2 linked regions of the Caenorhabditis elegans genome follow. The protein of the gene in region 1 purifies or fractionates together with the protein of each later gene. This does not show direct contact. Each region holds a gene or a part of one and is shown in the gene's direction. Other genes may lie near its edges.

Evidence for each region.
Region 2: the proteins of lsm-8 (region 1) and lsm-6 fractionate together in Caenorhabditis elegans (co-fractionation; one large-scale study listed by BioGRID). This does not show direct contact.

What each region holds. Positions count from the first base shown.
Region 1 is NC_003282.8:6,324,598-6,330,042, forward strand, and holds lsm-8 (U6 snRNA-associated Sm-like protein LSm8), read left to right. Parts: upstream 1-1,928; 5' UTR 1,929-1,935; coding exon 1,936-2,019; intron 2,020-2,246; coding exon 2,247-2,362; intron 2,363-4,511; coding exon 4,512-4,608; 3' UTR 4,609-4,882; downstream 4,883-5,445. Other genes in the region: sqd-1 (RRM domain-containing protein), read left to right, coding at 1-41, 129-636, 714-838; Protein seu-1, read left to right, coding at 5,042-5,056, 5,170-5,415.
Region 2 is NC_003279.8:1,699,703-1,702,374, forward strand, and holds lsm-6 (U6 snRNA-associated Sm-like protein LSm6), read left to right. Parts: upstream 1-1,658; 5' UTR 1,659-1,669; coding exon 1,670-1,782; intron 1,783-1,875; coding exon 1,876-1,996; 3' UTR 1,997-2,106; downstream 2,107-2,672. Other genes in the region: ubc-3 (UBC core domain-containing protein), read left to right, coding at 1-308, 976-1,085; Y71G12B.13 (RING-type domain-containing protein), read left to right, coding at 2,421-2,447.

The sequences.
Region 1 (5,445 bases):
TGGCCCTTGCTGCTCGCGAACAAACCATCAAGGGAAAATCTGTGAGTTCTTGTTTTTTTTCCTCGCCTACTTAAATGGCACTAAAAAGATATAAGTTCAATTGACAATAAACATATTTCTTGTTATAGGTCGAGGTAAAGCCAGCAAAATCGAGGGAAAACAAGAAGGTGTTTGTTGGAGGACTCCCATCGGACTACAGCGAGCAAGATCTTCGCTCTCATTTCGAACAATTCGGCAAGGTCGACGACATTGAATGGCCATTCGATAAGCAGACCAAGGCTCGTCGCAACTTCGCTTTTATCGTATTCGAGGAGGAGGAGTCCGCAGACAAAGCATCTTCCCAGACAAAACAGACCTTCGGAACTCGCGAATGTGACGTGAAAAAAGCAGTTCCACAAGGAAAACGGTTCCCAGGCGCCCAAGGGCGTATGCCAGGTGGTCGCGGAATGTATGGTGGACGTGGTGGAAATAACAACTCGGGATGGTATGCTGGATGGGGACAAATTGGAGCTATGCCATACGGAGCTACTGGAGCAGCTTGGGGAGACTGGTACGGAAACGGTTATTACGGCCAACAAGGTGCAGCACATCACAACAACAGCGGATCATCGCAAGGTTACGGAAGCGGATACCAGAGTTAGTTTTGTTACTATTTGATTCCATGTCTTGTGACTCATTCCACAAGGAATGCATCAGTATACTTATTCTATCAGGTTTTGCAGGAAATAACAGTGGATTCGATTACCAACAAGCTCAAGGAGCCAGACAGGGCAACAATGGCCAACCACGCTTCCAACAGCAGCCACAACAACAAACTGCTCAAGCCCAACAGTTCTAAATGTGCCTTCAGAACATCACCTCAATCACCATCTGAAATGCCTCCATCACAGTCCTCTTCAGAATTCCTGTTTCCTTCCTACCTAATCTTTCAAAAAATGTCCAAATTGTTTTGTCCTCACGCCCAGACTCAATCAAAAGCAGTTACAAATCGACCCTAAATTTCTAACGCGCGTTTTTCTTTAATTCCTTTTTTGGCAATGACGATCTGAGATGTGTTGTTCCCGAGGTTGAATTTTATATCGAACCAGTTTGTTTTGTTTCTCTGATTCTCACCCAAACTATCATCGACTCTCAACTTTTTTCCGTTGGTAATCTTTGATTTGAATAACTCCAGGAATAATAATAACATACTTTTGTTGTTTTAGATGATGTTCTTGTGAACATAATACTTTATCCACCCGCCTTTTTAGATGTGTAGAAGTACTTTATTTCCATCAGTTTTTTCAGTCATTTTTTGTTGTTTTAATTGTTTCGCTCGTTTTTTCTTTGAGCGATTCTGCGGCAGAAAACAAACTGTATTTTTACTTCTCTTCCCTAAAGTCTGTATGCTTCGCCCCCAATTTTTGTCTTTTAGTTGTTGTTATGGTGCTTTTTCCTTTGTTCAGGAACTGGTAACCAATTAGACTGTGCAATTCACTGTAGTTGTCAAGTATATTCACATTGAATTGTGCAGTTAGTTGTTAATTTCCCTCATCTCATTGAAGTGTATCTGATGAATCGTCAGGTGTCCCGTCTTCGTCTAATCTCACAACACCCAGCCACCCAACAAAAGCTTCTCCCTTTTTCTCCTTCGTTTTTTGCCAATCTCACCCGTAAATTCGCTCCCAAAAGCCCCCCCCCAACCGATTCTAATAACTGCCTCTTCGTTTGACATGTTATTTGTTGTCACATTCGTTTTTAATGTATGATAGATTCATGTCAAACATTTGTGTTGATATTAAGCTGAGAATGAAATTTTTGAGGACTAGTTGTTCTTATATTATCATTAAATTTTTATGCTTCATGAATTGAATGCGAACAGGTGGGTTGCCGTGAAAAATATCTCACTTGGGAACAATAAACTTCAATATTTAGAAGTCAATTTTCAGATAAAATATGACTTCAACTCTAGATGCGTACATGAATCGGATGGTGAACGTGGTCACTGGTGATGGTCGGGTTATCGTTGGACTTCTGAAGGTAAAATATCTAGAAAGAAATGTTGCTTCTGCACTTGGCGACAAAGGTTCGAGCCTTTGTCAAGAAATTTCAAAAATGCAGCACATCTTGATTATTATAAAACACGAGATTTTGAATCCCAACTTTGAAGAAATTGTTCAAAAAGACTGAGCTTATGTGTCGGATTAAATAATTAAATTATGTTACCTTTTAAAATTTCAATATTTTATTCAATTATACAATTTTAGGGATTCGATCAATTAATCAACTTGGTGATTGAAGATGCTCACGAAAGGTCGTATTCTGAGACGGAAGGTGTGCTCACGACACCATTGGGACTATATATTATTCGAGGAGAGAATGTGTAAGTTGAAAATTGACGGGACATAATTTAAAAATCGATTTTACCTTGTCACGGTGCTCTGCTTTTGGAATTTATAGGTTTTCTGCGACTAAAATTAGTTGTTGATGAAGAGTTTAGAAATGTCTCTTCTTGAATATCTACTTCATTTATTCCGATGAATTTTACTTCCGAGTTCCCGTACCACCCAATCCGTGGGTCAAACGATCAACAAACCCTCGAAAACATTGGACTCGGCATGCTTTTCCTTCCATTCCGTGCACATTATCGAAAAACTGACCAATTGTTTCAATTGAGTAGTGGCGGAGCCGCCTGCTTCAGCAAAGAAGCTCTTGATCATGTACGAGAGTGTTAAAAACCAAGACAGTTTTTATTGCTCAAAATCCATGGTCTTCTCTTGTTGAGAGGAGATGTTGGACTTTTAATAAAAGACCGGGTACAAATGTTGAACATTTGGAGCATTTTATCTGGATTTTTTTTTCACATCGCCCCATTAAACCTTATAAAAAGCTTCACATCGCCTTGCTTGTTGCAAATTCGCTCTATCGCCATTCTTCAATCTTTTCGAATCTAAAAACTCGTTGGTCATTATGTACTCTCTATTTCACCCGGTCTCTCTCTTCTGTTCTTTCTTTTGGAGTGCTCTACGGACCAATTGCTTCAAATGAATTATCGATTTTTTAAATTGTCGCGTTAGAATAGTTTCTCTGTGTTAAAACAGATCGACCTAATTTCAATTATCATCAAGAGTTTTTTTTTCTATTCGATTCAATCTTTTCCGATGACATTAATCATCCGTTTTTTATAATGTTGCACCCATGCGATGATAAGATTTAATTGTGGTCGTTGACTATCAGTGCTGAGAATGGAATTTTCTCGTTCAATTCACTTCAAAACGGGTCAATGTTATCATCTCAGAAACATCAAATTGATTTTACTTCATTTCTTCCAGTTGAATATTTTCTATAACGTTCCGTCGACATACCTTCGCCAGTCAACATTGAGTCATCATTTAAAAAAAAAAGAAAGGTGCAAGTAGTCCTGGTACCTGATGTTCTATAACAACCAGATCAAGTGCTTCTGTTGTTCCTTTGATCATTCAGCTTTCGGCAGCCGTCTAAAAACATAGCAACTGGTCGTTTCTTGTGCTCTGTTACGGTCGGAAACACGGAAAAGTCGGGGAAGCATGACGTGTCAAAACATCTCTTCCAATCGTTCGGCATTTTCTCGCCCTCAATCACAATTTGATGCTTGACCAATATGATTGCCCGAAGCCTTGCAGCAGCACCAGCAATTTATTTTGTTTGTACTCTTCACATTTTCGCCGGCAACAAAAAAAAACAACGAAAGAGGGAAATAGTTATAGTGAACGAGAGAACGAATACGAAAATGGACAACGCGATGGGAAAAATGTTGAAAAAGTATCCGTTTTCCTATTCTATGTCGGAGCTTCACAACTTGCTTACTAGGTTTTCAGTTTTCAGTTTTACTTTGTCGTTTCTATCTGAAAAGCGCTTATAGTTAAAACATATTCAGTTAAGTTCCAAACGAACTAAAACTTTAAAAAAAAAACTCCTCGTTGAGCGAATGCGATTGATTATTTTATTGAAGTCTCTAAATTGGCTCTTCCAGTCTCTGTTCAATACCTAATTGTTTTCTGATTAGTTTCATTATATTTATTGATTTTTCGTTTCCGATACACCACTCTTCTCTATACTCCACTCCAAATGTCAAGTGATAAATACTCATATTTCGAAATAGTTTATTTTTGGATAGGATACCCCTTCTGGCCCTATTCATGTCCCATTCAAAACACAATTTTATGAAATCTTTTCTCACTTTTCGTCAGTGTAATATAGCTGGAAAAGATTAATGTAGACATGCGTCAAATGTCCGAAACTTTCACAATTTCACACCTTTCAATTCATTCCGTTCGAACTTTGTTCAAAGAAAATGTGATTCCATGAAAAAAGTGTTCGGAACCTGTTCTGTTTCCCTCTGGAGAGGGGTGGAGAAATTATCGGAACACTTTTTCATTGCAAAAGTTGAAACTAAACTTTTAAAGCTATGATGTATATATATATAAAGACCAATTCTGCAACTACTGTAGATTTTTCCAAATGTTTCTTTTTGAAAATCTATCATTTTTCAGAGCGATTATCGGTGAAATCGATGAAGAACTCGACAAACGCGTTGATCTGGAAAATGTGAAAGCGGCCCCACTTGCACCAATTTGGATTCCCCAATAATTTCCACACAAATCGATATTCTGCATTGACGCGTTGTATTGACTGGTTATTCTCATCGTTTCCCCCCACCATTTCTTCTCCCCATTTAAATCATTTTTCCCAAACTATTCTCCATTCTTTTCTTGTTTCCTTGACGGTTTTGTATTCATACCATCGTTTCTTTACCATTTTTGGATCTCTAATTTCCTCTCAAATATTGTGAAAATTTATACATATTTATTTGCTTTGTTTTTAATAGTTAATGTATTAAATATGCATTTATTCAAATTGCAACGTCATTGTATTTTTTCGTGTTTCAACCGTTTGTTTATCGGTTTAACATTTCTTTTTTTAATATCGTTTCCTCGTTGAACTTTGCCATTTCACAGAAATAACCTTGCAGAAAATATTCCAGTGCTCGATTTCAACGGAATATACGGATCGAAGTTGCAAAATGAGCAGTATCAGAGTGAGTTAAATAGAATGGGGAAAGGATAATTTTGAACAAGAGTTTTTGCGCGTTTTTCAACTTTCCTACCAGAATAAAAGCATAAAGTAAAAATCGATAAACATTTTTTCCAGAACCAGAACGACAATCGTCGACCAACATTCCGTGATCATCGTACACCACAATTTAGCGGTCGTGGTGGTAGTGGTGGTGGCGGACGCCGTCTTCAAAATCCAGCTCATTATCCACAACGCAGAGATATGTCGCCGATTCGCAGATCTTCAGCAATTTCACCAGTCAGACGTTCACAGGATCATCGCCAACGTTCGCCTGAAGTTCGACGTCATCGATCACCGGAAAAGGAGTCAAAAGACGCAGTGGTTGGTAGATTCACACTCACACCCAAAATA
Region 2 (2,672 bases), on another chromosome or scaffold:
ACAAAGTGGAGAGCTCGCGTGTGAACGCTGGAACCCGACTCAAAGCGTCCGAACCATCCTTCTCTCGGTCATCTCACTGCTCAACGAGCCGAACACCTCGTCACCGGCCAACGTCGACGCGTCAGTGATGTACCGTAAATGGAAGGAGGATCAGGACCCGGAATACGCGAAAATCGTCACGAAGCAGGTGGAAGAGTCGAAGAAAGTCGCACAGAAAGATGGAATTCAAGTGCCCGAAACGATTGAGGAGTACTGTGTGAAATGGGCTCCACCACAACAGGATGATGTCTTTGACGACATTGATTATAGTAGGGTTTTCTCGAAATTTGAGCGATTTTGGCGTAAAATAGCGCTTTTTAACGGGAATTTTACAGTCACATTGGCCAGAAAATGATAAAAATCGACATTTTTGATGTCTAAAGTGAATTAAGACTAAAAATTTCATCTTCTACGCTAAAAATGTCTTATATTTTGCGTTTTTTGCACTAAAACTGGCTATTTTTGGTAAAATTCAAAAATTGTCAGTTTTTAGTCGAAATATCCGCAAAATTATACACTTTTTTCAAAAAAAATTGCCGATTTTTCAGGTAAATTGCCAGAAATCGCACGAATTCACGGATTTCTGGCTTCCCTTATAAATTGAAATGGAAGAGTTTTTGCCGAACTAGTCCAGGCCACCATATCTGGGGTAGATTTACGGCGCGTTGCGTGTCGCGCCGCGGCTCGATTTTAGTTGTAAAACTAAATGTATTTGTCCGTGTGGAGTACACGACTTTCCCACACGTTTTCCGGCGGGCGATTGTCAATGGAGCGCGAAAAATTCAATGAGGAAGGTCAGAACCCCGTGACCTCAAAAACCTCAAAAAAAAGTCTATTTTTCGCAAATTTAGTTGTAAAATTCCCGAGAAAATTGGATTTTTCAGTTAAAAACCCGGATTTTTGCCAAATTTTCAATTAAATATCGATTTTTTTCAGACGACGATTTCGGGTGTGACTATGACGACGATGAAGAGGAGGAGGACGAGGACGAATGCGGCTCGGACTATAATGATGATGACGAGGATTCGGGACAAGGAGAAAATTAGTCAATTTTTTTTAATTTTCTATAATTTTTTCCCCATTTTTTTTCTCAATTTTCTCAATTTTCCAACCTAGAAAAATTCAAATTCATATCAAATATACCACGAAATCTTGGCGCTTCTTTCAAACAAAAAATCTTCAAAATCCGACTCAACTAGTCCTTTTCTCAATGCATTTATATGTACACTTTTGCCCTTCCCAAGCAGCTATCAATTCATATTTGTGTTATACTCAATATTTTTTCGTCTGGAAACAGTTTTTTTTGTCCAATTACACACACACACAGGCTGATCACAGTGCACTTTCAACTATTTTTGTTTTCTATAAATGAAGCCTTCTTTTTTCTAAATTGTCTCGGAAAATTGCAGATTTAGAGTTGAATTCTCAAAAAATAAGTCGATTTAATCCGAAAAAAACATTTTTTTCGCAAGTCTGCATTTTTGCGTCACGGTGTTTGCGGACACTGTAGAAAATAATTTTTTTTGAAGCAAAATCGCAATTTTAACGCATTTTTCTCTTGATTTTAACATATTTTTACTCTAAAAACCCGTGAAAGTAATATTTTTTCTCAATTTCAGCACTCTAGAAAATGAGCAAACGACAGAATCCCGCCGAATTCCTGAAGAAAGTCATCGGAAAGCCGGTTGTGGTGAAGCTCAACTCTGGCGTCGACTACCGTGGCATTCTCGCATGTCTCGACGGGTTAGTGATTGGGAAAAATCAAAAAATCTGATTAAAAACACCTGAAAATTAATTTTTCTTCCAGAAAAATTACGAAAAAATCTAATTTTTCAGATATATGAACATCGCGCTCGAACAAACCGAAGAATACAGCAACGGACAACTTCAGAACAAGTACGGCGATGCGTTCATCCGCGGGAACAATGTGCTCTACATCTCCACATCGACGAAATAACTTTTTTTTGATTTCGATTTATTTTCCAAATATTTTTCCCTTTTTTGAGCTATTTTGAGCAAATTTCTTGTTTGATACGTTTGGATCTCGAATAAATTTGTGTTTTTTTTTTCGCCGAAAATCTGAGTTATTTCGCTCGAAAACAGGCTTTTTCAGCAAAAATCGAGAAATTTCTTGGGTTTCCTCACCGTTAGACGCGTCGCGGTCATGCGTCACGTGCGGTGGGTCTCACCACGATTCGATTTACGGGGAAGCATTTTCGAAAAAAAGAAGACATTTTTAAGTCAATTTATCGCGTTTTCATCGATTTTTCGAGCTTTTCCGGTGATTTTTTCGATTTTTCAACTCAAATTTCGAATTCTACGTATTTTTGTGCCACTTTCACTGCAACAATCGCAATTTTCAGACAATTTTCAAAAGGATAATGCCACCCGGACCACTTCCCGCCTTAGTAAGTTGATTTTTTTTTTGATTTAAAAACTGATTAACTTTTGCTCTCCGAGTGGTAAGTGATAATTTGTAATGATATGCGATCACACTAAGGCTAAACCGCCTTGCGATGATCTTTCCACCCGCACTGGAAAAGGAGAATTAGGCGGTTTTCTGCCGCCCGATATGTGATCGCACATTTCAAATGATACCATTCAAAAACTATACCTAATTTCATAGTGAAAAG